Linked DNA regions of Anolis sagrei. The protein of the gene in region 1 binds, or shares a complex with, the protein of each later gene. Links are inferred from orthologs where the notes say so. Each region holds a gene or a part of one and is shown in the gene's direction. Other genes may lie near its edges. The genes, in order: POLE2 and POLE4.

Region 1 (16,664 bases):
ACGAAGGTATTTGAAGGACTTATCTCCCTTGATGAACCCCTCAGAGCTTATTTTCCATCTTCATCACTATGATACTTCATCTTATTGATGGGAAGCTTCCCACCAGAGTGGAAATCATCTATTGGAGAGATGGCAAGCTGTTGAACCTCACCAGACTGAAAGCCAAAACCAAGGTTACAACAACATCTGTTATAGAACTCCAGTATGCGGATGATAACGTCGTCTGTGCTCATTCAGAAGAAGACCTACAAGCCACTCTCAATACAGACGCATACAAGAAGCTATTTGAAGGACTTATCTCCCTTGAACCCCTCAGAGCTTATTTTCCATCTTCATCACTATGATACTTCATCTTATTGATGGGAAGCTTCCCACCAGAGTGGAAATCATCTATTGGAGAGATGGCAAGCTGTTGAACCTCACCAGACTGAAAGCCAAAACCAAGGTTACAACAACATCTGTTATAGAACTCCAGTATGCTGATGACAACGTCGTCTGTACGCATTCAGAACATCTACAAGCCACGCTAAACACCGGAGTGGAAATCAAATGTCAGATAGATGGCAAGCTATTTAACTTTAGCAGACTGAAAGCCAAAACCAAGGTCACAACAACATCTGTAATAGAACTCCAGTATGCTGATGACAACGTCGTCTGTGCTCATTCAGAAGATCTACAAGCCACGCTAAACACCGGAGTGGAAATCAAATGTCGGACAGATGGCAAGCTATTTAACTTTAGCAGACTGAAAAACAAAACCAAGGTCACAACAACATCTGTTATAGAACTACAATATGCTGATGACAACGTCGTCTGTGCGCGTTCAGAAGATCTACAAGCCACTCTAAACACCGGAGTGGAAATCATCTGTTGGACAGATGGCAAGCTATTTAACTTTAGCAGACTGAAAGCCAAAGCCAAGGTCACAACAACATCTGTTATAAAACTCCAGTATGCTGATGACAATGTCGTCTGTGCTCATTCAGAAGATCTACAAGCCACGCTAAACACCGGAGTGGAAATCATCTGTGGCACAGATGGCAAGCTATTTAACTTTAGCAGACTGAAAAACAAAACCAAGGTCACAACAACATCTGTTATAGAACTCCAATATGCTGATGACAACGTTGTCTCTGCGCATTCAGAAGAAGATCTGCAAGCCACTCTAAACACCCAAGTGGAAATCATCTGTCGGACAGATGGCAAGCTATTTAACTTTAGCAGACTGAAAGCCAAAACCAAGGTCACAACAACATCTGTTATAGAACTCCAGTATGCTGATGACAACGTCGTCTGTGCGCATTCAGAAGAAGATCTACAAGCCACTCTAAACTCCCGAGTGGAAATCATCTGTCGGACAGATGGCAAGCTATTTAACTTTAGCAGACTGAAAGCCAAAACCAAGGTCACAACAACATCTGTTATAGAACTCCAATATACCGATGTTCAGACTTTCATATAAACACCCACAAAAGTGGCATCTGTAGACAGTCCACCTCTCACAGGCGTATAGCCTTACCCTTACCTTAGGCGATCCCTTGTTGGACAAATAGGATAGTCTTCCAGGATCAGTATTCTTGTGCATCCGTAGGTGACTGTGGAGCCCAATTCTTGACCTGCATCTTCTCCAACAGTGAGGGCATTGGTTTCCAGGTGGAAGCCTTTCCCAGTGAGGGTTGGCTTGACGTGCCTTCTTCTTGGTACATTTTTCTCTTTTGTCCTCCATTCGTGCCTCTTCAAATTCTGCAGCACTGCTGGTCACAGCTGACCTCCAACTGGAGCACTCAAGGGCCAGGGCTTCCCAGTTCTCAGTGTCTATGCCAGAGTTTTTAAGGTTGGCTTTGAGGCCATCTTTCAATCTCTTTTCCTGTCCACCAACATTCCGTTTTCCGTTCTTAAGTTCGGAGTAGAGCAACTGCTTTGGGAGACGGTGATCGGGCATCCAGACAACGTGGCTGGTCCAGCGGAGTTGATTGCGGAGGACCATCGCTTCAATGCTGGTGATCTTTGCTTCTTCCAGCACACTGACGTTTGTCCGCCTGTCTTCCCAAGAGATTTGCACGATTTTCCGGAGGCAGCGCTGATGGAATCATTCCAGGAGTTGTACGTGACATCTGTAGACAGTCCGCGTCTCGCAAGCGTATAGCAGGGTTGGGAGGGGAATAGCTTTATAAACAAGCCCCTTGGTCTCCCTATGGATGTCCCGGTCCTCAAACACTCTCTGCTTCATTCAGAAAAATACTGCACTCGCAGAGCTCAGACGATGTTGTACTTCGGTGTCGATGTTGACTTTGGTGGAGAGGTGGCTGCCAAGGTGCCGGAAATGGTCCACATTTTCTAATGTTACACCATTAAGCTGTATTTCTGGCATTGGAGAGGGATTGGCTGGTGACTGCTGGAACGGCACTTTGGTTTTCTCGATGTTTATTGAGAGGCCGAGCTTCTCGTATGCTTCTGCAAAGGTGTTTAGAGTGGCTTGTAGATCTTCTTCTGAATGCGCCCAGACGACGTTGTCATCAGCATACTGGAGGGGACTCAGGGCGGAGCACCAAGAATCTCTATGAAAATATAATATTAATAAGCATCTGCATGCAAATATGCTAATAATAATCATAAACATATGTGTGGAAATATAGTATTACTAGTAATAATAATAATAAATACCAATACAGCTTTATTTTATCACCCCACAAGGCTCCAGACTGTGAGAAATAGATATATTTATATGGCAGTTAATGGAAATTCAGACCAAGGGAGCATCTACACTGTGGAATTAACCCAGTTTGACTCCACTTGAACTGCCATGGCTCAAGACTGTGGAGTCCTGCTGTAGTTTAACAAGGCCTTTCGCCTGTTTCACCAAACCATGATTCCATAGCATTTTGCCATGATAGTTAAAGCGGTGCCAAACTGCATTAATTCTACAGTGTAGATGCATTGCACACAATGACAACTAGATTGACAGCTTATTCCTTCCTCCCTTCCTTCCTTCTCCTTCCTTCCTTCCTTCCTTCTCCTTCCTTCCTTCTCCTTCCTTCCTTCCTTCTTTCCTTCCTTGCTTCCTTCCTTCCCCTTCCTTTCTTCTAATTCCTTCTCCTTCCTTCCTTCTCCTTCCTTCCTTCTCCTTCCTTCCTTCTCCTTCCTTCCTACTCCTTCCTTCCTTCTCCTTCCTTCCTTCTCCTTCCTTCCTTCCTTCCTTCCTTCCTTCCTTTTTTCCTTCCTTCCTTCCTTCTCCTTCCTTCCTTCCTTCCCCTTCCTTCCTTCTAATTCCTTCCTTCTTCATTCCTTCCTTCCCCTTCCTTCCTTCCTTCTTTCCTTCCTTCCTTTTTCCTTCCTTCCTTCCTTCCTTCCTTCCTTCGCCTTCCTTCCTTCCCCTTCCTTCCTTCCTTCCTTCCTTTTCTTCCTTGCTTCCTTCCTTCCCCCTTCCTTCCTTCTAATTCCTTCCTTCCTTCCTTTTCCTTCCTTCCTTCCTTCCCCTTCCTTCCTTCTCCTTCCTTCCTTCCTTCCTTCCCCTTCCTTCCTTCCTTCTCCTTCCTTCCTTCTCCTTCCTGCCTTCTTTCCTTCCTTCCTTCCTTCCTTCTTTTTTCCTTCCTTCCTTCCTTCCTTCCTTCGCCTTCCTTCCTTCCCCTTCCTTCCTTCCTTCTTTTCTTCCTTGCTTCCTTCCTTCCCCTTCCTTCCGTCTAATTCCTTCCTTCCTTCTAATTCCTTCCTTCCTTCCTTCTCCTTCCTTCCTTCCTTCCTTTTTTCCTTCCTTCCTTTTTTCCTTCCTTCTCCTTCCTTCCTTCGCCTTCCTTCCTTCCTTCCCCTTCCTTCCTTCTTTCCTTCCTTGCTTCCCCTTCCTTCCTTCTAATTCCTTCCTTCTCCTTCCTTCCTTCCTTCTCCTTCCTTCCTTCCTTCCTTCCTTCCTTTTTTCCTTCCTTCCTTCCTTCTCCTTCCTTCCTTCCTTCCCCTTCCTTCCCCTTCCTTCCTTCTTTCCTTCCTTCCTTCCTTCCTTCCCCTTCCTTCCTTCTAATTCCTTCCTTCTCCTTCCTTCCTTCTCCTTCCTTCCTTCCTTCTTTCCTTCCTTCCTTCTAATTCCTTCCTTCCTTCTAATTCATTCCTTCCTTCCTTCTCCTTCCTTCCTTCTAATTCCTTCCTTCCCTCCCTCCCTCCCTCCTTCCTTCCTTCCTTCCTTCCTTCCTTCTCCTTCCTTCCTTCCTTCCTTCCTTCCTTCCTTCCTTTTCCTTCCTTCCTTCCTTCCTTCCCCTTCCTTCCTTCTCCTTCCTTCCTTCCCCTTCCTTCTCCTTCCTTCCTTCCTTCTCCTTCCTTCCTTCTCCTTCCTGCCTTCTTTCCTTCCTTCCTTCTTTTTTCCTTCCTTCCTTCCTTCCTTCCTTCCTTCGCCTTCCTTCCTTCCCCTTCCTTCCTTCCTTCTTTTCTTCCTTGCTTCCTTCCTTCCCCTTCCTTCCTTCTAATTCCTTCCTTCCTTCTAATTCCTTCCTTCCTTCCTTCTCCTTCCTTCCTTCCTTCCTTTTTTCCTTCCTTCCTTCCTTCCTTCCTTCTCCTTCCTTCCTTCCTTCGCCTTCCTTCCTTCCTTCCCCTTCCTTCCTTCTTTCCTTCCTTGCTTCCCCTTCCTTCCTTCTAATTCCTTCCTTCTCCTTCCTTCCTTCCTTCTCCTTCCTTCCTTCCTTCCTTCCTTTTTTCCTTCCTTCCTTCCTTCTCCTTCCTTCCTTCCCCTTCCTTCCCCTTCCTTCCTTCTTTCCTTCCTTCCTTCCTTCCTTCCCCTTCCTTCCTTCTAATTCCTTCCTTCTCCTTCCTTCCTTCTCCTTCCTTCCTTCCTTCCTTCTTTCCTTCCTTCCTTCTAATTCATTCCTTCCTTCCTTCTCCTTCCTTCCTTCTAATTCCTTCCTTCCCTCCCTCCCTCCCTCCCTCCTTCCTTCCTTCCTTCCTTCTCCTTCCTTCCTTCCTTCCTTCTAATTCCTTCCTTCCTTCCTTCCTTCTCCTTCCTTCCTTCCTTCCTTCCTTCTTTCCTTCCTTCCTTCCTTCCTTCCTTCCTTCCTTCCTTCCTTCCTTCCTTCCTTCCTTCCTTCCTTCCTTCCTTCCTTCCTCAGTGAAGAATAAAACCAAAGTTTCCCAAAACTCTGTTTGCAGGTACTTGGGACTCTATTTCCCAGGATGCCTCCTCATTGGTCAAAGCAGCTGAGGCTTCTGGGAGTTTCAAGACTAGGAACCCGCTTTTCTACCACAAGGGGGCGGGGCCTGTCAGGAAAGGGGCGGGGAAAGGGGCGGGGCCTCACCGTTGGCGCCAAAGTTCCAAAATGGCGGCGGAGAAGCTGAGGGGGAAAGTGGGCGCCGCCTTCAAGATGCACGGCCTGCTGCTCCGCGCGTGAGTAAACCCTTTCCTCGGGGTCGGGTGGGCGCCTCTCTCGTGGCCGTGGCAAGCGAGGAAGGCCTTCGTGGAGGAGAGAAGATCTACGGCTCAGTCAAGGCCAATCTCTAAGCCCCAAGTGCTTTTGGACTTCATTTCCCAGAAGCCTCTGCCACTTAGGCTAAGGAGATGGCATTCTGGGAAATGGGGTCCAAAGGCATGGAAAGGCAGATCTTGGGCAATACTGAAGGAAAGCAGCCTAGAATCATGCAATCTAGTTCCAAATGGTTCATGAGATTATCTAGTTTAATAATCTGGATTATGTGGCGGTGTAGACTCACTTAATCCGGTTCCAAACAGATTGTGTCATTACATAGTTTAATAATCTGGATTATATGGCAGTGTAGATTCATGTACCCCAGTTCCAAGCAGATCATGTCATTACCTAGTTTACTTATCTGGATTATTTGGTGGTGTAGACTCATGTACTCCAGTTCCAAGCAGATCATGTCATTATCTGTTTTAATAATCTGGATTATTTGGCACTGTAGACTCATGTAATCCGGTTCCAAGCAGATCATGTCATTACCTAGTTTAATAATCTGGATTATATGGCACTGTAGACTCACACAATCTGGTTCCAAGCAGATCATGTCATTACCTAGTTTAGTAATCTGGATTATATGGCACTGTAGACTCATGTAAATCATGTCATCTAATTTTGTAATCTGGATTATATGGCGGTGTAGACACACTTATCCGGTTGCAAGCAGCTCATGTCATTACCTAGTTTAATAATCTGGATTATATGGCACTGTAGACTCACGTAATCCTGTTCCAAGCAGATTATGTCATTATCTAGTTTAATCATCTGGATTGTACAGTCATGCAATCCAGTTCCAAGAAGATCACGTCATTTACCTAGTTTAATAATCTGGATTATATGGCAGTGTAGACTCATGAACTCCAGTTCCAAGCAGATCATGTCAATATCTATTTTAATCATCTGGATTATATGGCAGTGTAGACTCACTTAATCCTGTTCCAAGCAGATCAGGTTATTATCTAGTTTAGTAATCTGGATTATATGGCACTGTAGACTCATGTAAATCATGTCATCTAATTTTATAATCTGAGTTATATGGCGGTGTCGACACACTTACTCCGGTTGCAAGCAGCTCATGTCATTACCTAGTTTACTAATCTGGATTATATGGCAGTGTATACTTATGTAGTCTGGTTCCAAGCAAATCGTGGCATTATCTAGTTTCATAATCTGGATTATATGGCAGTGTAGACTCACTTAATCCTGTTCCAAGCAGATTATGTCATTATCTGTTTTAAAAATCTGGATTATATGGCAGTGTAGACTCAAATAATCCGGTTCCAAGCAGATCATGTCATTATCTAGTTTACTAATCTGGATTATTTGGCAGTGTAGACTCACCTAATCCGGTTCCAAGCAGATCATGTCATTATCTAATTTAATAATCTGGATTATATAGCAGTGTACACTCACTTAATCCTGTTCCAAGCAGATCATGTCATTACCTAGTTTAATAATCTGTTGAAATTGTCCACATGCTTGTGGATTTCGCCTTCGACAATAATCATCATCATCATCTGCCATAAATCTGCACTGTAGATGCACACAATGACAACTAGACTGACAGGTTATTCACACTTTGGGTATTTCTTCTTCTTCTCTCTTCCGTTAGTGAAGCTGCTAAATATCTCACAGAAGCTCTTCAAACAGCTAATGAAGTTGAGCTGGAAGACATGATAGAAAATATAATCGACGCTGTTGAAAAACAGCCTTGTAAGTAATGCCGTCTGTTTTCTACAATGGTTTAAGAAGGAAAGGGTGGGATACTTAACGTTTCTGTGGCTTCTGATGGGATTTGTGATTGTAAACTAGGTTTTGTCATAAGCTTTTTAAGCGTGCTCCTCAATAACTACATAGGAAACCATTTTGTATTTTTACATTCTTCTTTTCAGTGACATGTAACATGATTGAAAAGTCCATGGTGGAAGCAGCCGTCCTGGAGTGCAGCCAGTCTGTAGACGAAACCATGTATGTTTACATTCGTTTACTTCAAACAAGCAGGAGCTTTTGATGCAGTCTAGTTTGGTTGATTGTCTTGTTGACTTCCATTACTTTGATTGGCTGATATTTCAGATTTTAGTGTCATTAATATTCATGTACACCAGGCATGGGGAAACCACCGCCTCCTCCTGAGAAAAATGTACACTATCACAAAGGATGACCACCTCACCCGTCTCATAGGAAACCTGCTACAAAACAGGAGCTTTTTTGTTGCGTTCCAGGGCCAGAGAAGCAGATGGCAGAAACAGAAGAACGGCCTTCCTCAGCGGAGTGTGCTCACTCCATCCATGTTCAACATCTACACAAATGACCAGCCACTGCCAGAAGGGACAGAGAGCTTCATCTATGCTGATGATCGTGCCATTACCGCTCAAGCAGGGAGCTTTGAGATGGTAGAACAGAAGCTTTCCGAAGCTCTAGGTGCTCTTACTGCCTATTACAGGGAAAACCAGCTGATCCCTAATCCATCTAAAACACAGACATGTGCCTTTCACCTTAAGAACAGACAAGCATCCCGAGCTCTGAAGATCACCTGGGAAGGAACCCCACTGGAGCATTGCAGCACATCCAAATACCTGGGAGTCACTCTGGACCATGCTCTTACCTACAAGAAGCACTGCCTGAACATCAAGCAAAAAGTGGGTGCTAGAAACAATATCATACGAAAGCTGACTGGCACAACCTGGGGATCACAACCAGACACAGTGAAGACATCTGCCCTTGCGCTGTGCTACTCTTCTGCTGAGTATGCATGCCCAGTGTGGAACACATCAGACCACGCTAAAACAGTGGATGTGGCTCTTAATGAGACATGCCACATTATCACGGGGTGTCTGCGCCCTACACCACTGGAGAAATTACACTGCTTAGCCGGTATTGCACCACCTGACATCCGCCGGGAAGTAGCAGCCAATAGTGAAAGGATCAAAGCAGAAACATCTCCAGCTCATCCCTTGTTTGAGTATCAGCCAGCACGCCAACGACTTAAATCTAGACATAGTTTTCTAAGATCTACAGAGACACTCGCTGGAACACCTCAGCAAGCAAGAGTCCAAAAGTGGCAGGCCCAAACCCAGCACCTCAACCAATGGCTGATACCCAATGAGAGACTCCCACGAGATGCAGAGCCAACCTCAAGAAATGGGGCCACAAAGTGGAATCCTCGGTATGCGAGTGTGGAGAAGAGCAAACCACTGACCACCTGCTGCAATGCAACCTGAGCCCTGCCACATGCACCATGGAGGACCTTCTTGCAGCAACACCAGAGGCACTCCACGTGGCCAGATACTGGTCAAAGGACATTTAACCAACTACCAAACTCACAAGATGTGTATTTTTCTGTCTGTTTGCTTTGTTCTGTTAGAAATGTAATATATAATGGACTGGTTGCTCTGACACGACAAATAAATGGGGAAATTTCTGCCCTTTCTCCAGGTGCTTTGAACTTCAACCCCCACAATAACTTGTGAGAGCCAGTAGGCTGTTAGGAGTTGTGAGAGTCCAAAAACACCTGCAGGGAGGGCTGAAGTTTGCCCATACGTGGTGTAGTGTAATGTCAGTATTAATATGGCATCCATTCATTGATTTTTTTGCATGAGCAGCTAAATAATGTAGAGAGGGTTGACAGAATTTCCTGCAAATCCAAAGTTTGGGAGTTTATTGTTCAAATAATGTTGTCTTTGGATTAGTGAAGGCTTTCATGGCCAAAATCATTGGATTGTTGTGAGTTTTCCAGGCTGGCCATGTTCCAGAAGCATTCTTTCCTGACGTTTCACCTGCATCTATTTATTTATTTGTTTGTTTACGACTTTTATATGCCACCCTTCTCACCCAGAAGTGGACTCAGAGTGGCTTGCAAGAGATATATACTGTTTCAAGATTGGGAAAGGCGTCCGGCAAGGCTGCATACTCTCACCCAACCTTTTTAACGTGTATGCAGAACACATCATGTGAGGATGTGCGGGGCTTGAGGAATGCAAAGCTGGGGTGAAAATTGCTGGAAGAAACATTAACAACTTCAGGTATGCAGATGACACCACTCTGATGGCCAAAAGCGAGGAGGAGCTGAGGAGCCTTCTAATCAAGGTGAAAGAAGAAAGCGCAAAAGCCGGGTTGCAGCTAAACATCAGAAAAACCAAGATTATGTCAACAAGAATGATTGACAACTGGGAAATAGAGGGAGAAAACGTGGAGGCCGTGACAGACTTTGTATTTCTAGGCGCAATGATGAGTGCAGACGCAGACTGTGGCCAGGAAATCAGAAGACGCTTCCTTCTTGGGAGGAGAGCAATGTCCAGTCTCGATAAAATAGTAAAGAGCAGAGACATCAGATTGGCAACCAAGATCCATTGCCTAGTCAAAGCCATGGTCTTCCCTGTAGTCACCTACGGATGTGAGAGCGGGACCTGAGGGAAGGCTGAGCGAAGGAAGAGAGATGCTTTTGAGCTGTCGTGTTGGAAGAAAGTTCTGAGAGTGCCTTGGACTGCGAGAAGATCCAACCAGTCCATCCTCCAGGAAATAAAGCCCGGCTGCTCATTGGAGGGAAGGATATGAGAGACAAAGTGGAAGTCCTTTGGCCACATCATGAGGAGACAGCAAAGCCTAGAGAAGACAATTATGGTGGGGAAAGTGGAAGGCAAAAGGAAGAGGGGCCGACCAAGGGCAAGATGGATGGATGGCATCCTTGAAGTGACTGGACTGACCTTGAAGGAGCTGGGGGTGGTGACGGCCGACAGGGAGCTCTGGCGTGGGCTGGTCCATGAGGTCACGAAGAGTTGGAGACGACTGAACGAATGAACTACAACATATTATATTATTAGCATAGGACAATATCAGTATTAAATATTACTATATTGTACTATACCATTACATTGTAATATTATTAGTAATATTACATGTAATATAAATATATAATTATAATATCATATTACTATTATTGGAGCCCCCGGTGACGCAGTGGGTTAAACCCCTGTGCCGGCATGACTGAAGACTGACAGGTCGCAGGTTCGAATCTGGGGAGAGTGTGGATGAGCTCCCTCTATCAGCTCCAGCTCCTCATGCGGGGACATGAGAGAAGCCTCCCACAAGGATGATAAAAACATCAAAATCATCCGGGCGTCCCCTGGGCAACGTCCTTGCAGACGGCCAATTCTCTCACACCAGATTCTCAAGTCTCTCCTGACACGACAAAAAAAAATACTATTATTAGTATTATATTGCATATATATCTATGGCAGACATCCTCAGAACTTGTGAGTCTGTATGGCTCTACCGGAGAAGTCAGCCATAGCAGAGCCCTTGATGAACCAACCTGGACACAGCATATTATCTGAGTACACAGAAATGCTGGACCACTCTCACAACCACCATGTCAGGCTACACAGGGAAGTCACAGAAATCCACAAGAAGCATGTGGACAATTTCAACAGATAGGAAGAAACCATGAAAATGAACACAATCTGGCAACTAGTGTTTTTTTTTTAAAAAAAAAAAAACCTCTAAAATCATAACAGTAAATAAAGAACAACACTCAAAAACAGGTGAATTCCAGACAAGAAACAATCAGGACCAGTTAATCACTGTCAGTGACATCAGCAGCACAACAAGACAGGAACAGATCAATCACAGTCACCTAGGCTACAAAAATGACTTTATTCTTACAGCTATATACATTAGAAGCTACTTAACAACCAACACATCATAAACTTGCTTCTTTACAGTCCAATCATAACATCACGAACTCTTCAACTGTTATCAGTACTAGTCCACACCTCCTGCATTCCAGCTGCCTCCATTTGTTCTACACACTTAATTTATGACATCTCTAGGAATGCCGTTCCCTCCATGGTTCAGTTAACTTTTTCCACACAGGAATACATTTCACTTGGCACATAGCTACTGCATTTTAAACATACATGCATACTTTGAAATCTACATTATAAATTGCAAAAAGCCTCAGCAATCACCTCCCAACAAAGGATTCCCCCGGGGAGTAAGAAGCCAGACCTTGAAACTGCTAGGCCATTAAATGCTAATCAAGGTGACCAATTGAAAAATTCACACCTACCTCAACAGACAAGAGTTGTTTCTCCCACCCTGGACATTATTCCAGAGATATAAACCCAATATTCCTAGTTCCAACAGACCTCACAACCTCTGAGGATGCCTGCCATGGATGCAGGCAAAACTTCAGGAGAGAATGCTGCTCGAAAATAGCCATATAGCCCAGAAAACTCACAATAACCCAATGTAGTCTTTTATAACTCAGCAATCATCTCTGATTTAAAGCGAGTTGGTGATCCTGGCTTAGATAGAAACAGCCATTGAATGGTAATTCCAGGTTCAGACATGTTTCTGCCTGCTGTGTTTATTTCAAATGATTCAATTGCATCTGTAGAAACAAGATAATTGGCACAGCAGAATACTGTACCAAATTATTTTTCATGATTTTTGTCCCCCAAATAAAGCTTTCCAATATCTTTCCTTGTGCATATGATTTCTCCACAGGGAACACATCTTCAACATCATCGGAGCTTTTGATATCCCGCGATATGTTTACAATTCGGAGAGAAAGAAATTTCTACCGTAAGTTTGTGCTTTGTAAGTTTGGATCCCAAGCTGTGATGATGTGTATTTTTATTCCTATGGTTATGTGTTGTTTAAACAGTAGTTAATAAATGGTAAGTATGTAGGATTATATTTTGTTAGAGATGGTGTCTGGTTTGGCTTGAGCTGAGTTGCCATAGAAACGGGGGTGGAGCCAACTGTCACCTAACTGCATATCTGTTTGAAATAGGCAGTCTGTGACCGTTAGAGTTACAGAGAAGACTGAAATCTCTGGTGGGAGATTCAGGGAACTAGTCTGTGACCAGAGAGTTACAGGAGAGGTAGTTGATCCTGTGGTGTGTGGAAAACCAGCAGGAATCCTACAGTTAGAGAACTATAGGGAAGACTGATTCTTTAATATTAAGAATCAGGGTTTGGCTGTGAGCCAATATAGTTAGATAAGTCAGGTGGCTTATTTGTAGTAAAAGAACGCTTGTTGAAGAAAGATATATCTACTCAAAGAAACCTTTTGAAGTCTGTTTAGTACCTAAAGTTATTCAGGAAACCTTATCAATGTAACTAACTAAGTTTGCGCCTCTAATGAAGTAAGAATTGAATCTGTTATACTCCTGTTAAATAAATTTGTTACTGTTTTCCTCAAGCCTTGCCTGATACAGTTTCTCCTAAGTCAAACAGCCCCACATAAGAAGTAAGACCAAATCAGGGACATTAAATATCAGCTTCACTATCAAATAAATAAATACTTCTGTAAATAATAGTCCCTTTATAAACCAGCTCCTAAGCTGATATTGATCATTGCCCGGCTTTCCTCACAAATTTGGTGGCAGTAGTTTTACGCTCCTTTACACAAGCCAATTTACATTTCGTAGAATCATAGAATCAAAGAGTTGGAAGAGACCTCATGGGCCATCCAGTCTAACCCCATTCTGCCAAAAAGCAGGAATATTGCATTCAAATCACCCCTGACAGATGGCCATCCAGCCTCTGCTTAAAAGCTTCCAAAGAAGGAGCCTCCACCACACTCCGGGGCAGAGAGTTCACATTTTAGGAAAAGAGATTCCACTTAAACATGAGTAAGAATATACTAGCAGAGCTGTTCAAGAGTGGAGTCTGGTGGAGTCTCCTTCACTGGAGGCTTTTAAACAGAAGCCGGATGGCCATCTGTCAGGAGGGTTTGGATTGTATTTCCTACATGAGCATAAATCTGCTCTAAAGAAAGCTTAAGAGTGTACTGGTTTGAGTGTTGGAGTTCGTGGTTCAAATGGCCACCTGCTGTTAAAACCCACGGGGGAGTTTAGGCAGGTCACACTCTCTCAGCTTCAGAGGAAGGCAGTGACCAACCTCCTCGGAATAACTTTGGAGTTAATCGTGTTGGGAGTTTCTGGGATTGGGTTGCTGTAAATTGGGTTCAGGTTGAAGACCCCAAACAAGGAGTAGAGGTTTTCATGTTTCTGTTTTTGTGGGACCCCATTTCACCCAAGTCTGTACAATGTTTCTTTCAGCCTCTCGATGACCAGCCACCCTCCGCCCAGTCTGTTAGGCTCTGCCAGGGATAAAGCAGAATTATTCCGGGAGCGTTACGTCATCTTGCAGCAGGTGAGGTAAAAAAGATTAAGGGGATTTAGTCCATTTTGCACTGTGAAAGGTTACTTTGTTGGACAACAGCTCCCATCATCCCCGGACAGTATTGCCAGCAGCCTGTTATTTAATTGAAAAACTTAATTCTTCCAACATCTGATTTATAGCTTTAGAAAGTCCCACGAGTTCAGAAATATGTGGACAGAAATATGTGGACAGAGTTTGGAATCGGGACGTGAAGTTATATGACTCTCCCTCCCAAGGGAAACTGTCGTGACCCACAGAACACAGAATGTCTTAAACAGCAGTTGAGGTGCAAAATAGTAGTATTTTAATGCAAAACAAACTAAATGAGGCACTTTAAGAGTCAGTGCAAACAGTTCAAAGGATGTTTTCAAACAGGAACACAAAATGCTAGATAAGCAGGCTTGAATTGCAGCCAAGAAATAACAAGAGATACAATGAACTAGGAGCAGAATACAAAACAAAACAGTCTTTAAGGGTTGCAAGGCATGGAGCAAAATCCGGTAGGCAAACGCGTAGTCAGTCAGTTCCAAGGGTCAAGAAGCCAGATGTACACTCACGAGCAAAGGTTCCAAGGTCCGGAGCATGGCAGGGAAAACAGGATACTGGGAATCCAAAACAAGATTAGGCAGAGAACAACACGAAACAACACTTTGTCGTCTGCAAAGGAATAGGTCCCAGAGTGCTCATTTTATTCACTATCAGAAGAATGAGATTCATTGCTTGCATCTGATTCTGCTCCCACAGCTGAAGCATCTACACCACGCCAAGCCTGCCACCTTTGCTCTAGTGCCTGATCCTGCCAATCAGTACTCTCATTCCCATTATCCCTAAAACCTTCAAAATCATCACTTGATGTTGCTTGATTGCAAATGTCTCTAATGTTCTGAACCAGAGTCCAGTCTACAGCCTCCTCCAACTCATCCTCACTATCACTGGAGTTATCTGCTGTGTCTCTAAGCCTCTTAGACATAGTGTCACTCTCACTGCCAGAATCACTAGCCACTCTCTTCACTCCCCTGTAATCTGCTTCCATAGCCTCCTCTGGCCTGAATCCTGCAAAGTCTTCTTCATCACTGGGAGCCAGAAAGATGTCACGAATGCGTTTCAGCTGGCGCTGATTCTCCTCTGTTTCTGCATCACTCCTTCTTCTCCTACTACTAGTAGTAGGTATGGTGTCAGAATGCTGACTCACAACAGAAACACTCATAGATAATAGATTTGTATTTGTGGGGAAATCGCACTACGGATAGGAAATATTTTCTCTCAAAATGAAAAGTTGCCTTAATTTGAAAACAAAAGAGAGAAATAAATATATCATCAAATAGAGGGCTGCAGTGATCATCATTTTGATCTTGCTGCTGTTTGATGTTACCAGACCAAGGCTGGATCTACATTGCCATATAATGCAGTTTGGGATTGAATTATGTAAATCTACGCTGACCATACAATCTGCATTATATAGAATCATAGAATCAAAGAGTTGGAAGAGACCTCATGGGCCATCCAGTCCAACCCCATTCTGCCAAGAAGCAGGAATATTGCATTCAAATCACCCCCAACAGATGGCCATCCAGCCTCTGTTTAAAAGCTTCCAAAGAAGGAGCCTCCACCACACTCTGGGGCAGAGAGTTCCACTGCTGAACGGCTCTCACAGTCAGGAAGTTCTTCCTCATGTTCAAGTGGAATCTCCTTTCTTGTAGTTTGAAGCCATTGCTCCATTGCGTCCTAGTCTCCAAGGAAGCAGAAAACAAGCTTGCTCCCTCCTCCTCCCTGTGGCTTCCTCTCACATATTTACACATGGCTATCACGTCTCCTCTCAGCCTTCTCTTCTTCAGGCTAAACATGCCCAGCTCCTTAAGCTGTTCCTCATAGGGCTTGTTCTCCAGACCCTTGATCATTTTAGTCACCCTCCTCTGGACACATTCCAGCTTGTCAATATCTCTCTTGAATTGTGGTGCCCAGAATTGGACACAATATTCCAGGTGTGGTCTAACCAAAGCAGAATAGAGCATGGGGAGCATGACTTCCCTAGATCTAGACACTAGGCTCCTATTGAGGCAGGCCAAAATCCCACTGGCTTTTTTTGCCGCCACAAAAAAGTGTAGATCCAGTCTTAGTCTGCAAACCAAAACATATCCCTTAGGAAGTATGTTTTCTGGAAACTTGGTGGGATTTATTTCCAAGTGAGTGTACATAGGACCACGCCATTAATCAGGATAGCTGTGCCGGGCTGCAATTTAGCAGTAAAAAAACTAGAAGTAATCTTACATTGTGGTATAACCTTCCATGGTGTAGAAGGGAATTCTGAAGGCTGACCACAGAATTGCATTGGAGGACCTAGAGACTCCTAGAGAGGTTTTGTTAATCTTATGGTTATGTTTTTTACTTTGTATGTTTTGTGATGTTACCTGGGAACCGCTCTGAGACCCCTCGTGGAGATGGAGCAGTATATAAATAAAGTTTTATTATTATTATCATTATTATTATTATTGAAATTATTTTTATTGAAATAGAGTAAGAATATAATATCCATGTAAAGAGGGGGAACATAGTGTTTATAAGAAAAGTAGGAAAAATAGAAAAATAGTTAGAATGGGAAAGGTCAAAAAGGGGAAAGTAAAAAAGGGTGAAAAAAAAGAGAACAATTAAAAATAATATAAAATAAAAAGTCCGGCAACTTCCTTCTAATTCTGCACGTATTTCCAATTTATTGTCGATACACTCCTCCCAGTCTAACAATATCCACTTCTATGCTTCTTAGATAGTAAGTAAGTCCAGTTACATATCCTTGTATCTTCTTTCAATATAGTCCTCAATTAATGACCAATTTGTTTGTTTAACCAGATTGCCTGTATTTCTTTTTAATTAAAAAGTTAGTATATCCATGTCTTTAATTTTGTTTATCTTTTTTATCCAGTGGTCCTTCTCGGGTATTTCCTTTTGCTTATTATTATTATTATTATTCACCCGAAATCTCTAGTTCCTCCAGGAACTCCTATCAATACAGAATTTGTCAAACAGAATATGGCCTTGTAGTCCTAT
Region 2 (16,456 bases), on another chromosome or scaffold:
ATTGCTTTTGTTTTTTCTAAATTTATTTTGAATCCCGCCACTTCACCATAACTTTTTATTTCCTCTAGCCATTTTCCTAGCTTATCTTTTGGATTTTCAATTATACAGATTATGTCATCAGCAAAAGTTTTGTATTTATAATCCTGTCCTTATGTCATTCCGCAGGAGCCTAAAGACATGGTTATTTGAGAAGGCATTTAACTAAGTGCTACAACAATTGGCATTGACGACTGGAATGGAATATGGATTATGAGATTGGCTTATGATTCTACGATGAGACGGCGCGGATGATTTAGTGTAATTATATGATTGCTGTATTATTGATAGTTATGTTGATATTTCGTTGTGCTATTGCTTTATTGTAAACTGTGTTTTTATATGTTGTACACTGCCGTGAGTCGCCCTAGGGCTGAGAACGGCGGTCAACAAATGCAGTAAATAAATAAATAAATAAATATCCTAGCCCCGACTAGTTCTTTTTTCTCTCTTATTCTTTTTAATAGGACTTCTAATGTTAAGATAAATATTAGCGGAGACAAAGGACAACCCTGTCTGGTTCCTTTTTCTATTTGTAACGTGTCTTTTTCCTGTCCATTAATTATTACTTTTGCCTCCTGACTTTCATAAATTGCTTCCACTGCATTCTGGAAATAAAAGCCCATGTCAATTTCTCTCATCAAGCATTTAAAAAAATTCCAATTTACGTTGGAACGCTGCGCGCTCGGTGGAAGAGGACAACATCCCAGGTATAGAAGGAGTGTACCGAGGTCTTCGGTCCCAGGTTTACGATAGCTGCGCTCCCCTGCTAGAACCTCCGAACAAGCTCAAAGACTCCATGGCCATTGTTCTGTGGGGTCCCTCAGGGCTCGGTACTGTCCCCTATGTTGTTCAACATATACATGAAGCCGTTGGGAGAGATCATACGGAGTTTCGGGGTTTGGTGTCATCTGTACGCAGATGATGTCCAACTCTGTTACTCCTTTCCACCTGCTACTAAGGAAGCTGTTCAAGTCCTGAACCGGTGCTTGGCGGCTGTAACGGACTGGATGAGGGACAACAGATTGAAACTAAATCCAGACAAGACAGAGGTACTCCTGGTCAGTCGAAAGGCCGAACAGGGCATAGGGTTACAGTCTGTGCTGGATGGGGTTACACTCCCCTGAAGGCGCAGGTTCGCAGCTTGGGAGTGATCCTTGACTCATCGCTGAGCCTGGAACCCCAGGTCTCGGCGGTGGTCAGGGGAGCTTTTGCACAATTAAAATTTGTGCGCCAGCTGCGCCCGTACCTTGGGAAGTCTGACTTGGCCATGGTGGTCCATGCTCTGGTTACATCCCGTTTAGACTACTGCAACGATCTCTACGTGGGGTTGCCTCTGAAGACTGCTTCAATCAGTCCAAAGAGCGGCAGCCAGATTGCTAACGGGAGCGGGGTAGAGGGAGCATACGACTCCTCTGTTACGCCAGCTCCACTGGCTGCCAATTAGCTTCCAAGCACAATTCAAAGTGTTGGTTTCGACCTATAAAGCCCTAAACAACTCCGGCTCAATTTACTTGTCCGAACGGATTCTCCCCTATGAACCATCAAGGTTATTAAGATCTTCCGGAGGGGCCCTGCTCTCGATCCCACCACCTTCACAATCGCGTCTGGTGGGGACGAGGGACAGGGCCTTCTCGGTGATGGCTCCTCGGCTTTGGAACTCCCTTCCACTAGAGTTTATTTATTTATTTATTTATTTATTATTCGAACTTATATGCCGCCACTCCCCTGTGGCTCGGAGCGGCTTACAAGAATGACTAAAATCTAACACAATTTAAAAACAATTTTAAACAATTTAAAAACAGAAATATCAAAAATCAAAGGCCTGTCGAAACAGGTATGTCTTGCATGCCCTGCGGAAAGCCGATAAGTCCCGCAAGTCACGGACTTCAGATGGCAGAGTATTCCAGAGTGATGGCGCCATTGCTGTAAAGGCTCTGCGTCTGGTTGCTGTTAGACGCAAGGTCTTGACACTGGGAATTTCCAACAGATCTTGGTCCTCAGAACGGACGGATCTCTGGGGTTGGTAGGGGGTGAGGCGGTCCCTCATGTACATTGGCCCCAGACCACGCAAGGCCTTAGAGGTGAGTACCATCACTTTGAAAGTGATCCGGTGCTCAATTGGTAACCAATGCAGCTGTAGTAAGATTGGTGTTATGTGGCATCTCATCGGAATTCCCGCAAGAAGCCGAGCAGCTGCGTTTTGTACCAACTTGAGCTTCCGGATCACCGACAGAGGAAGGCCAATGTAGAGGGCGTTACAGTAGTCCAGTCTTGAGATGATCGTAGCCTGGATCACCGTAGCTAGGTCGTCCCTGGACAGGTAGGGGCCAGCCGTCTAGCCTGCCGCAGATGAAAAAAGGCGGTTCTGCTAAAGGCGGAGACCTGGGCCTCCATCGTCAGCAGAGGGTCCAAAAGGACTCCCAGACTCTTTACCAATCATGACGGGTGTAGTGCCTCGCCATGCGGGGTAGGCAGCTGGATATCCCACTGCCCGGTCGACCCAGCCATAGGATCTCCGTCTTTGCTGGATTCACCCTCAACCTGCTGGCACGCAGCCATCCTGTAACGGCCTCGAGGCACTGATGGAAACAATCGGGTACAGAGTTTGGTCGGCCTTCCATCTTCAGCACAAGCTGAGTGTCATCGGCGTACTGGTAACATTCAAGCCCAAAACCTCGAAACAGCTGAGCAAGTGGTCGCATATAGATGTTAAACAACAGAGGGGAGAGAATGGCCCCCTGAGGAACCCCACAAGATAGAGGGGACCTCTCGGAGACCAGACCTCCCCTCTCCACTCGCTGTCCATGGTTGTGAAGAAAGGAGGACAGCCAGTTTAAAGCTCTCCCCCTGACTCCAACAGCAGCAAGGCGTTGGGTCAAAAGATTGTGGTCGACTGTGTCAAATGCTGCTGTGAGATCCAATAACACAAGCAGCGCTGACCCGCCCTAATCAAGCTGGCATTGGAGGTGATCTGTGATGGAGACCAGCACAGTCTCTGTCCCGTGCTCCGGACTGGAAGGGATCTAGTCCGGCTGTGTCGTCTAGGAATTGCTGCAACTGCTCCGCTGCTGCCCTCTCAATCACCTTGCCCAGGAATGAGAGATTTGAAACTGGGCGGTAACTGGAGGGAACCGAACAATCTAAGTCTGGTTTCTTCAGCAGGGGAGAGACCACCGCCTCTTTTAAACCCTCTGGAAAAACTCTTTGCTCAAGGGAGCTGTTTATAATCTTCAACAGAGGGTCACGTAATCCCTCCAAGCAGGATTTCACCAACCAAGAGGGACACGGATCGAGGGAGCAAGTGGTCGGTCTATCTGCAGCTATGAGCCTATCAACAGCCCCTGCGTCCAGTGGGATGAACCAGTCGAGGATGGGCCCAGCAAGTGGCCACGGAGTCTCAAGTTCTCTCACTGTATCAATTGTGGCGGGGAGGTCCCGGTGAAGTAGCGAGATCTTGTCTGCAAAATAGCTCTGAAAAACCTCGGCTGAAGGGGCCTGGTCACCACTTTTTGGGACAGTAGGAACCGTCGTTAGAGATCGAATTATTTTGAACAATTCTGCCGGGCGTGAGCTAGCAGATGCTATCAAAGAAGCATAATATGCTCACTTTGACTCGGTGACAGCATGCTCATAGGATTCCCTAAATGCCTCATAAGCTGATCTCGCTGCTCCGTCACGGAGTTCTCGCCACACGCCCTCTAGCCGTCTCTTTTCCTGCTTCATCAGTCGAAGTTCCTCGGTGAACCAAAGAGACCGATTTCGGTGGGGTCGGAGAGGGCATCTAGGGGCAATCTCGTCGGGTGCATTGGATAGCCTAATGTTCCATGTGTCCACCTGCACATCGATCAAGTCGCTGGCAGGCTCCAGATCCCTCAGAGCATTCCGGAACCTACTGGGTTCCATAAGTCTCCTTGGGCGAGCCCAAATTGGCTCGGCGCCCTTGCAGGGTGGGTAGGCATGCTCTCAGAGCACAGTGATCCGACCATGGAACCTCTATTGTGGAGGCTTGATCTGATTAGATCTGCCCCTTCTCTCCTGTCGTTTAGAAAACTACTAAAAACCTGGCTTTGGAATAAGGCATTTGATGATTGAGTCAATAACCTTTGTGCACACGGAAGGATGGTGATGAATTGTAACTCTATTTGACGACTTGGCTTATGTAATGTGATGATGTTTTTATTGTATTTTTCGGTTTTTAATGATGATGTATTGTACTGTTTATATTACTGTATTTGAGTACATGCTGTAAACCGGCCTGAGTCCCTCTCCGGAGGTCGAGAAGACCGGTATATAAAACTTCTAAATAAATAAATAAATCTAGTCCAACAGGAAGGCACCATTCAAGCCTTCCCAACAGATGGCCATTCAGTGAGATATAGGATTGATATATATACAGACATAGAATAGATATATCATAGGATCTTAAGAGCTGAAAGAGACCCTAAGAGCCATCCTGACAGATGGCCATTCAGCCAGATATGATGTGTGTGTGTGTGTGTGTGTGTGTGTAAATAAGAGCCCCTCACTCTTTTGCAGGAAGACACACCATCTGACCTTTTCCAACAGATGGCCATTCATCCATAGCTATGACTGAGATATATGTTTGTGTGTGTATGTATGTGTATATGTATGTATGTATGTATGTGTGTGTGTGTACGTGTATATAAAATCAACGTATCATAAAAAGAATTGGAAGGACCACATGGCCCTGTTGTTTTTGCATGGCCAGAGGACACCACCCGATCCCTCCTGAGAGATAGACATTCAGCCACAGCTTCGAGCTCTATACACACACACACACACACATATCTGTCTCAACGATCCCATACTCACAAGGTCAGAGAGCTCCAGGCGGCGGAGCAGGAATCCCACGCCGCAGCCGGTGACCACAGAGAGCAAGGAGAGGACCAGGAGGCCGTTCTTGGTCCAGAAGACCCGCAGGCCCCTCCGGATGCCGCCCAGGGCCCGCTTGAGGCGTTCCCACATGGCGCTCTCCGCAAAGGGGGACGGCTCTGCGGGGCATCATTGGGGAGCCTGCCGTCCCACCAGAGGAAGCATGCTCCAGCGACACCCTCCTCTCCTTCCCTTTCCTTCCTTCTTTTCTGGGCTCCCGAGCCTTCCTTGCTGTCCCCTTGGGCTTAAGGGGAGAGTGACGTCTTGAGCCGGCTTTGGGCGAAGGAGGCACTGTCATAAGTCCTGTCCCTGCGGGAAAAACAAAGGTCTTAGTCTTAAGGGATTGGCAGGGCAGGCAGGCGGTCAAATATAGATCTCAATGGGGGAAGGACGGAGAGAGGGATGCACTCTGCACATGGCCAAGAAGAGTAAGAATAAGAAGAATGGAGAGGGATGAAATCTGCATAATAATAACAACACTAACAATAATATCAGAGAGGGAGGGGTGAAATCTGCATAATAATAATAATAACAACAACAACAACAACAACAACAACAACATAGTAAAGGTAGTCTCCTGACATTAAGTCCAGTCATGTCTGACTCTGGGGTGTGGTGCTCATCTCCATTTCTAAGCCGAAGAGCCAGCGTTGTCCGTAGACACCTCCAAGGTCATGTGAATTGGAAGAGACCTGGTGGGCCACACAGTCCAATCCCATTTTGCCAACAAGCAGGAATATCATCTTCAAAGCCTCCGACAGATAGCCATCCAGCCTCTGCTTCAAAGCCTCCAAAGAAGGAGCCTCCACCACAATCAAGGGCAGAGAGAGAGTTCCACTACTGAACACCTCTCACAGTTAGGAAGTTCTTCCTCATGTTCAGGTGGTATCTCCTTCCTTTCCTGTAGTTTGAAGCCATGGTTCCATTGCGTCATAGTCTCCAGGGCAGCAGAAAACAAGCTTGCTCCCTCCTCCCTATGACTTCTCCCCTCATATTTATACACAGCCCTCATAATGTGTCCTCTCTGCCTTCTCTTCTGCAGGCTAAACATGCCCGGCTCTTTCAGCCGCTCCTCATAGGGCTTCAGACCCTGGATCCTTTGAATCGCCCTCTTCCTCTGGACACATTCCAGCTTAGAGTCAACATCTCCCTTCAATTTGGTGCCCAGAATCAGACACAGTGTGATTCCAGGCAAAGTGGTCTGATGAAGACAGAAGAGAGGGGTAGCATGACTTCCCTGGATCACTAGACTCCTCTTGATGCAGGCAAAAATCCCATTGGCTTTTCAAGCTGTTGCATGACATTCCTGGCTCATGTTCCCCTTCCTCCTCACGAGGACTTCAAGGTCTTTTCCCCACGTCCTACTGTCGAGCTAGCCATCATCCCCCATTCTGTCTCTGTGCATTTCATTTTTTTCTGCCTGAATGGGATATCTTGCATTTGTCACTGTGAGAAGGATGCACTCTGAACATGTTCAGAGGCAACCCAAGGGTGGATAATAATAATAATAATAACAACAACAACAACAACAACAATGGAGAGGTGCAATTGCGTAATAGTAATCCTCATCATATCAGAGAGGGATGCACTCTGCACATGGCAAATAATCATCATCTTTGTCGAAGGCTTTCATGGCTGGAATCACTAGGTTCTTGTGGGTTTTTTCGGGCTATAGAGCCATGTTCTAGAGGCATTTCTCCTGACGTTTCGCCTGCATCTATGGCAAGCATCCTCAGAGGTAGAGACCTCTACCTCTGAGGATGCTTGCCATAGATGCAGGCGAAACGTCAGGAGAAATGCCTCTAGAACATGGCTCTATAGCCCGAAAAAACCCACAAGAACCTAATCATCATCTTTATTTATATCCTGTCATATCAGAGAGGGATGCACTCTGCACATGCTCAGAGGCAATCCCAATGAGGGGAAATAATAATAACAATAATAATATTGCAAAAAGAGGGATGCACTCTGCACTATATTAATAATAATAATAATAATAATAATAATAATATAGAGAAGGATACACTGCATAATAATAAGGGAAGGATGCACTGTGAAGAACTTAACGGTGAAAGAGAGCTTTTCAGCAGTGGAACTCTCTCCCTCTCTGTCCTGGAGTATGATGGAGGCTCCTTATTTGGAGACTTTGAAGCAGAGGCTGGGTGGCCATCTGTGGGGGGGGGGGGGGGGGCTTTGAATGTGATTTTCCTGCTTCTTAGCAGAATGGGTTGGACTGAATGCACTCTGCATAATAATAATAATAATATAATAATGAAGGGAGGATGCATTGAATAATAATAATGACAGATGCACTCTGCATAATAATAATGATGATAATAATGAGGGAAGGATGCACTCTGAATAACAACAACAATAATAATAGAGAGGGATGCACTCTGCATAATAATAATAACAATAATAAAGAGAGGGTTGCACTGAATAATAATAATAAAGAGGGAAGGATGCACTCTGCATAATAGTAATAGGGAGAGATGCACTTTATATAATAATAATAATAATAATAATAGAGGGAGGGATGCACTGAATAATATTAGGGAGCGTTATATTGTATTATTTCATTATTATTATTATAATTATATTACTATATGTATTATTATTATACCATTATATTAATACTTTGTGTTGTCATATTACAATATGAGCATCACCCCCTCAGAGTTGGATATGACTAGTCTTAATGTCAGGGGAAACCTTTACCTTTACCTATACTATGTTACTATATTATCATTGTTATATTCTTCTCTATACCTCCCTGTCTCCCCCTATTCTATGTCACTATACACCTGTATTATTAATTTTGTTATATTAATAATTCTATGTTATTATATCACTATTATTATCTTCTTCTTCCCAAGAGCTCTATGCCTCTCCATCTTCTATGTTATATCATTATATTATTATATTGCTATATTTATTAATTAATATTATATGGTGTTATATTATTATATTACGATAAAGCAGATTACAGGAGCTGTCTTCATAGACCTGTCAGCAGCCTATGATACTGTGAACCACCGCCTCCTCCTGAGAAAAATGTATAATATCACAAAGGACTAACACCTCACCCGCCTCATAGGAAACCTGCTACAAAACAGGAGCTTTTTTGTTGAGTACCAGGGCCAGAGAAGCAAATGGCGGAAACAGAAGAACGGCCTGCCTCAGGGGAGCGTGCTTGCTCCATCCATGTTCAACATCTACATAAATGACCAGTCACTGCCAGAAGGGACAGAGAGCTTCACCTATGCTGATGATCGTGCCATTACTGCTCAAGCAGGGAGCTTTGAGATGGTTGAACAGAAGCTCTCCGAAGCTCTAGGTGCCCTTACTGCCTATTACAGGAAAAATCAGCTGATCCCTAACCTATCAAAAATACTGACATGTGCTTTTCATCTCAAGAACATACAAGCATCCCGAGCTCTGAGGATCACCTGGGAAGGAATCCCACTGGAGCATTGCAGCACACCCAAATACCTGGGAGTCGCTCTGGCCTGTGCTTTTACCTACAAGAAGCACTGCCTGAACATCAAGCAAAAAGTGGGCGCTAGAAACAATATCATACGAAAGCTGGCTGGCACAACTGGGGAATCACAACCAGATACAGTGAAGACATCTGCCCTTGCGCTGTGCTACTCTGCTGCTGAATACGCATGCCCAGTGTGGAACACATCTCACCACGCTAAAATAGTGGATGTGGCTCTTAATGAGACATGCTGCATTATCACGAGGTGTCTGCGCCCTACACCACTGGAGATATTACACTGTTTAGCCGGTATTGCACCACCTGACATCCGCCAGGAAGTAGCAGCCAATAATGAAAGGACCAAGGCAGAGACATCTCCAGCTCATCCCTTGTTTGGGTATCAGCCAGCACGACTTAAATCAAGAAATAGTTTTCTAAGATCTACAGAGACACTCGCTGGAACACCTCAGCAAGCGAGAGTCCAAAAGTGGCAGGCTCAAACCCAGAACCTGAATCAATGGCTGATACCAAATGAGAGACTCCCCCCTGGGCACACAGAAGACTGGGCGACTTCAGAGGCACTCCAAGTGGTCAGATACTGGTCAAAGGACATTTAATCAACTACCAAGCTTGCAAACTCTGTTTTGTCTGTTTGTTAAAATTTGTTAAAAATGTAATACAATTATCTGGTTGATACTGACACGATAAATAAATGATAAAGTAATTATATTTACTATATATTTATTATATTAATATTATACGGTGTTATACATATATTATATTATTTATTATTATATTAATATTCTATGTTAGGGTATATAATTATTATTGACAAGTTAGAGAGTTGGGCCAAAACTAACAAAATGAAGTTCAACAGTGACAAATGCAAGAGACTCCACTTTGGCAGGAAAAACGAAATGCAAAGATACAGAACGGGGGACAATGCCTGGCTCAAGAGCAGTACGTGTGAAAAAGATCTTGGAGTCTTGGAGTTTAACTTGTGGACAACAAGTTAAACATGAGCCAACAATGTGATGTGGCGGCAAAAAAAGCCAATGGGATTTTGGCCTGCATCAATAGGAGCATAATGTCTAGATCTAGGGAAGTAATGCTACCCCTCTATTCCGCTTTGGTTAGGCCACACCTGGAATATTGTGTCCAATTCTGGGCACCACAATTCAAGAGAGATATTGACAAGCTGGAATGTGTCCAGAGGAGGGCGACTAAAATGATCAAGGGTCTGGAGAACAAGCCCTATGAAGAGCGGCTTAAGGAGCTGGGCATGTTTAGCCTGAAGAAGAGAAGGCTGAGAGGAGATATAATAGCCATGTATAAATATGTGAGAGGAAGCCACAGGGAGGAGGGAGCGAACTTGTTTTCTGCTTCCCTGGAGACTAGGACGCGGAACAATGGCTTCAAACTACAAGAGAGGAGATTCCATCTGAACATTAGGAAGAACTTCCTGACTGTGAGAGCCGTTCAGCAGTGGAACTCTCTGCCCCGGAGTGTGGTGGAGGCTCCTTCTTTGGAAGCTTTTAAACAGAGGCTGGATGGCCATCTGTCCTGGGTGATTTGAATGCAATATTCCTGCTTCTTGGCAGAATGGGGTTGGACTGGATGGCCCATGAGGTCTCTTCCAACTCTTTGATTCTTTGATAAACGATAAAGTAATTATATTTACTATATATTTATTATATTAATATTATATGGTGTTATGCATATATATATATATATATATATATATATATATTATATTATTATATTTATTATTATATTAATATTCTATGTTAGGGTATATAATTATTATTGTGATCTTTTTCTTCCCTAGAGCTCTCTGACTCCCCCTAGAGAGCTTTGGCGGGAAGGGCCAGTGAAAGCCGGGCAGAGGGGGCGTGGCTTCCCGCGGCATGAAGGCGGGGCCTGAGGCCTTGATTTGCGTACCGCGTGGCGCAGGCGCAGTAGCGGCCAACATGGCAGCAGCGGTTCCTGAGGTAAATGTCGCGGCGGCGCTTCCCAGCGAAGAACCGGAGGCGCCACCCACTACCGCAACGGCCCGCCCGGCTCGCTTGCCTTTGTCCCGGGTGAAAGCGCTGGTCAAAGCCGACCCGGATGTCAGCCTCGCCAGCCAAGAAGCCGTCTTCATCTTGGCCCGCGCTACGGTGAGACTGAGACTGCGCATGCGAGGGGTGGAAGGGGGCAATCGCCTGGCCAATCAGAGCGTTCGTTTGCTCCCGGTAGGCGGAGACTGCGTGTGGGCGTGGCTACCCCCGCGCGCTTTTTAATGCTGGCCAATCTCGCCGCTGTGGGCGTGGCCAATACCAGGGTGCAGGGGGCGTGGCTGAAGAGAGGGTGGCGTTGTTTCACCAACAGGGGGCGCGCGTGCTTTCCTTGAAAAGTTTGGGAAAGTTTTCACTGTATTGTCGAAGGCTTTCATGTCTGGAATCACTAGGTTCTTGTGGGTTTTTTCGGGCTATATGGCCATGTTCTAGAGGCATTTTCTCCTGACGTTTCGCCTGCATCTATGGCAAGCATCCTCAGAGGTAGTGAGGTCTGTTGGAATTAGGAAAAAGGGTTTATATATCTGTGGAATGGCTGGGGTGGGGCAAAGAGCTCTTCCCTGCTGGAGCTAGGTGTGAATGTTTCAACTGACCACCTTCATTAGCATTTGAAGGCCTGGCTGAGCATGGGAAAATCTTCTGTTGAGAGGTGTTAAGATGTGCCTTGTTGTTTCCTCTCTGCTGTTTTGCTGTTGTAATTTTTGAGTTTTTTAATACTGGTAGCCAGATTTTGTTCATTTTCATGGTTTCTTCCTTTCTGTTGAAATTGTCCACATGCTTGTGGATTTCAATGGCATCTCTGTGTAGTCTGACATGGTGGTTGTGAGAGTGGTCCAGCACTTCTGTGTTCTCAAATAATATACTGTGTCCAGGCTGGTTCATCAGTTTTCACTTTTTGAAGAATTGCATGTTTATTGTATTGTCGAAGGCTTTCATGGCCGGAATCACTGGGTTATTTATTTATCGTGTCAGGAGCAGACCAAACAGTTGTGTTTCATTTTTTAACAAACAAACAGAACACAAAGTTTTCAAGCTTGGTATTCTATTAAATAGGGGGTGTCATAAGGCTCACCAAAGGACACCAGAAAACACAGTATTTTTGTTGGTCATGGGTGTCTCTGTGTGGGAAGTTTGGCCCAATTCTACCATTTGTGGGGTTCTTTGATTGTAGGGGAACTATAAATCCCAGCATCTACAACTCTCAAATCTCTATTTCCCCCAAACTCCATCTGTGTTCATATTCAGGCATATGGAGTATTCATGACAAGTTTGTGAGAAGCCATTGAAATCCACAAGCATGTGGACAATTTCAACAGAAAGGAGGAGACCATGAAAATGAACAAAATCTGGCTACCAGTATTAAAAAACTCTAAAATTACAACAGCAAAACAGCAGAGAGGAAACAACCAGGCACATCTTAACAACTCTCAACAGAACATTTTCCCAGGCTCAGCCAGGCCTTCAAATGCTCATCAAGGTGGTCAGTTGAAACATTCACACCTAGCTCCAACAGACAAGAGTCCTTTGTCCTACCCTGGTCATTCCACAGATATATAAACCCATTTTCCTAATTCCAACAGACCTCACTACCTCTGAGGATGCTTGCCATAGATGCAGGCGAAACGTCAGGAGAAATGCCTCTAGAACATGGCTCTATAGCCCGAAAAAACCCACAAGAACCTAGTGATTCCAGCCATGAAAGCCTTCGACAATACATTAAATCCTTCATTGTTTGAGTCCGCAGTGCTCTCTGGATGTAGGTGAACTACAACTCCCAAATTCAAGGTCAGTGTCCACCAAACCCTCAGTTTCATCATTGGTGGAGTTCAGAATGCGCTTTGATTGTAGGTGAACTATAAATCCCAACAACTACAACTTCCAAATGACAAAATCAATTTTTTCAGTGATGATAACTCCTTGCATTAGTAGGTGTCTTGTGGCCAAATTTGGCAGCATAATTGCGGATTTTGAGTTAGGATGTCACTCAAAACGAATAGAGCATTTTTTATACATAGATAATAATACAATGTATCATGATGCTATAATAAATAATATAATACAAATATTATATAATAACAATCTCTATCTCTCTCTATATATATTGCAGGAGCTGTTTGTGGAGACCATTGCCAAGGACGCCTTCATCTTTGCCCAGCAAGGCAAGAGGAAGACCCTCCAGAGGAAGGACTTGGGTGAGAAATAATACAGAAATAATAATAATACAGAAATAATAATAATAATACCTCCTTATTAATTCCATTTTTGTTTTATGCCTCACCTGCAGACAACGCCATTGAAGCCGTGGACGAATTTGCCTTCCTGGAAGGTAAGCGGCCCATTGGAGTCAATACTGGGTTGCTGTGAGTTTCCTGGGCTGCCTGGCCATGTTCCAGCAGCATTCTCTCCTGTCATTTCCTCAGAGGTTGTGAGGTCTGTTGGAAACTGGGCAAGTTGGGTTTATATATTACTTACTTACTTACTTTACTTACTTAGGCGATCCCTCGTTGGACGAGTAAGATGGTCTTCCATGATGGGTTTCTTTGTGGATTCGTAGGAGGCAGTGGAGCCCTATTCTTGACCCGCATCTTCTCCCACGGTGAAGGCATTGGTTTCCAGGCATTGGTTTCCTCCTGGCACATTTTTCTCTTTCACCCTCCACTCATGCCTCCTCGAATTCTGCAGCACTGCTGGTCACAGCTCACCTCCAGCTGGAGCGCTGAAGGGCCAGGGCTTCCCAGTTCTCAGTGTCTATGCCAGAGATTTTAAGATTGGCTTTGAGGCCATCTTTAAATCTCTTTTCCTGTCCACCAACGTTCCGTTTTCCATTCTTAAGTTCGGAGTAGAGCAACTGCTTTGGGAGACGATGGTCAGGCATCCAGACAACGTGGCCGGCCCAGCGGAGTTGATGGCAGAGGACCATCGCTTCAATGCTGGTGGTCTTTGCTTCTTCCAGCACGCTGACGTTTGTCCGCTTGTCTTCCCAAGAGATTTGCAGGATTTTCCAGAGGCAGCACTGATGGAATTGTTCCAGGAGTTGCATGTGACGTCTGTAGACAGTCCACGTTTCGCAGACATAGAGCAGGGTTGGGAGGACAATAGCTTTATAGACAAGCACCTTGGTATCCCTACGGATGTCCTGGACCTCAAACACTCTCTGCTTCATTCGAGAAAATGCTGCACTTGCAGAGCTCAGGCGGTGTTGTATTTCGGTGTCGATGTTGACTTTGGTGGAGAGGGGGCTGCCAAGGTAGCGGAAATGGTTAACATTTTCTGGGTTTATATATATATATACCTGTGGAATGATGTCCAGGATGGGAGAAAGAACCCTTGTCCGTGTGAGGCAAGTGTGAATGTTGCCATTGGCCAACGTAAGTAGCATTAAATGACCTGTAAAATCAATCAGTGAGGGGAATCTGCATAGAGGGAGCCTGGCCTTTGTTGCCTGGAGGCACCCCCTGTGGAATAATGTCCAGGGTGGGAGAACGGACTCTTGTCTGCTTGAGGCAAGAGTGAATGTTGCAATTGGCCACCTTGATTAACATTGAATGACCTTACAGCTTCAAAGTCTGGCTGCTTCCTGCCTGGGGAATCCTTGGTTGGGAGGTGATAGCTAGACCTGATTGTTTCCTGTCTGGAATTCCCCTGTTTTCTTGCCTCCCACTCTGGACATTTTTCCACAGATATATCAACCGCATTTTCCTAGTTACCAACAGACCTCACAACCTCTGAGGGTGCCTGCCATGGATGTGGGCAAAACAGCAGGAGAGAATGTTTCCTGAACAGGGCCACACAGCCTGGAAAACTCACAACAAACCAGTGATTCTGGCCACGAAAGGCTTCGACAACACATAATTAATACTATTGTCTAGATTATGATGATGATCATAAATGTATTACATAGTTTGGACAGTTTATTTCTCTGCCACATTATTCACCTTCTGGTCTTGTCTATTTTAGATTATAATAATATATTATATTATATACTAGCTGTCCCCTGCCACGCGTTGCTGTGGCCCAGTCTAGTGATCTGGAAAATAAATTAATAAGAAAGTGTTGGTTTCTAATATATGTAATTCCTTTCTGCTTGTGAGTAAACAGTATTTCGTGTTGTTTCTTTGTCAGTGTTGATGTGGAGAGTGTCTGGTTTGCCTACTCTGGAACATGCCACATACCATAGTCCTCCTTTAAGGGTCTCTTTCAAATCTATGATACCATATCTGTGTGTGAGAGAGAGAATCATATCTATCTATCTATATTTATGACTGGATGGCTCTTTGTCAGGAGGGCTCTGATTACATTTTCTTGCCCTGGTGAAGAGAGTTGGACTGGATGGCCTTAAGTATTCTCTGTTGGTCATGGGAGTTCTGTGTGGGAAGTTTGCCCCATTTCTGTCGTTTGTGGGTTTCAGAATGCTCTGTTGGTCATGGAAGTCCTGTATGCCATGTTTGGTTCAATTCCATCATTGGTGGAGTTCAGAATGCTCTTTGATTGTAGGTGAACTATAAATCCCAGCAACTACAACTCCTAAAATGTTGAGGTCTATTTCCCTTAAACTCCATCTGTGTTCATATTTGGGCATATGGAATATTTGTGCCAAGTTTGGTCCAGATCCATCGTTGTTTGAGTCCACAGTGCTCTCTGGGTGTGGGTGAACTATAATTCCCAAACTCAAGGTCAATGCCCACCGAACCCTTCCAGTGTGTTCTGTTGGTCATGGAAGTCCCATATGCCATGTTTGGTTGAATTCCATCATTGGTGTTCAGAATGCTCTTTGATTGTAGGTGAACTATAAGTCCCAGCAACTACAACTCCCAAATGTCAAGGTCTATTTCCCTTAAACTCCATCTGTGTTCATATTTGGGCATATGGAATATTCGTGCCAAGTTTGGTCCATCTCCATCATTGTTTGAGTCCACAGTGCTCTCTGGATGTGGGTGAACTATAATCCCCAAACTCAAGGTCAGTGTCCACCAAACCCTTCCAGTTTTTTCTGTTGGTCATGGGAGCCCTGTATGCTAAGTTTGGCCCAATTCCATCATTGGTGGAGTTCAGAATGTTGTTTGATTGTAGGTGAACTATAAATCCCAGCAACTACAACTCCCAAATGACAAAATCAATTTTGGATATAAATGTGTCCAAATTTGGTGTCAATTCCCCCAGTGGTTTTTGAGTCCTGATGGTAGCACGAACTAACATTACATTTTTATTTATATAGATAGAAATGTATCAGATCGTTTGGACATTTTGGAATAGATTAACTATGATAATAAATTAATAAATACAATAATATTTAAGTGCAAGTGACTCCACTTAGGCAGAAAAAAAGGAAATGCAAAGAGACAGAATGGGAGACAATGCCTGGCTCGATGGTACAACGGGCAGCAGCCAGGTTACTAACTGGTGCGACTTACAGGGAGCGCTCAACCCTCCTGTTTAAGGAGCTCCACTGGCTGCCGTTTATTTTCCGGTCCCAATTCAAGGTGCAGGTTCTTACCTACAAAGCCCTGAACGGTTTGGGACCTGCCTACCTGCGTGACCGCATTTCTGTGTACGAATCCACACAATTTCTTCGATCATCTGGAGAGGCCCTGCTCACGCTTTCACCTCCTTCGCAGGCGCGATTGGTGGGGACAAGGGAGAGGGCCTTCTCGGTGGTGGCCCCCGGACTCTGGAACTCACTTCCCAAGGACATCAGGCATGCCCCAACATTGACAGTCTTTAGGAGGAGCCTGAAAACGTGGCTGTTCCGGTGTGCCTTCCCAAAATAAGGAAGATTCCCAGCAATATGTCCTCAGAATGCACTTTACTACTGGGTTAGGATTGACTGCGCTCCCTCATCTCTTTTAAAACTCTATACCAGATATATCCTACCTGGTTCATGCTATTACTATTACATTTGGCCCGGCCACAGGTTTTTTAATCCTTGTGTGTTACTGTTTATTGGTTATTGTTTAGATGTGATTTATATTAATTGTATTGTATTTAT

What was found.
Region 2: POLE2 (region 1) and POLE4 share a complex: the UniProt entries of both Homo sapiens proteins name them as parts of the DNA polymerase epsilon complex. The link is inferred for Anolis sagrei from reciprocal best matches to the Homo sapiens genes POLE2 and POLE4.

The regions. Positions count from the first base shown.
Region 1 is NC_090021.1:340,612,980-340,629,643, reverse strand, and holds the start of POLE2 (DNA polymerase epsilon subunit 2), read left to right. Parts: upstream 1-5,259; 5' UTR 5,260-5,294; coding exon 5,295-5,362; intron 5,363-7,062; coding exon 7,063-7,163; intron 7,164-7,342; coding exon 7,343-7,418; intron 7,419-11,957; coding exon 11,958-12,035; intron 12,036-13,519; coding exon 13,520-13,613; intron 13,614-16,664. UniProt on the Homo sapiens protein: Accessory component of the DNA polymerase epsilon complex. Participates in DNA repair and in chromosomal DNA replication.
Region 2 is NC_090034.1:61,626,894-61,643,349, forward strand, and holds the start of POLE4 (DNA polymerase epsilon subunit 4), read left to right. Parts: upstream 1-10,360; 5' UTR 10,361-10,383; coding exon 10,384-10,572; exon of another isoform or gene 10,573-10,596; intron 10,597-12,577; coding exon 12,578-12,662; intron 12,663-12,754; coding exon 12,755-12,796; intron 12,797-16,456. Other genes in the region: excitatory amino acid transporter 5-like, read right to left, coding at 4,873-5,025. UniProt on the Homo sapiens protein: Accessory component of the DNA polymerase epsilon complex. Participates in DNA repair and in chromosomal DNA replication.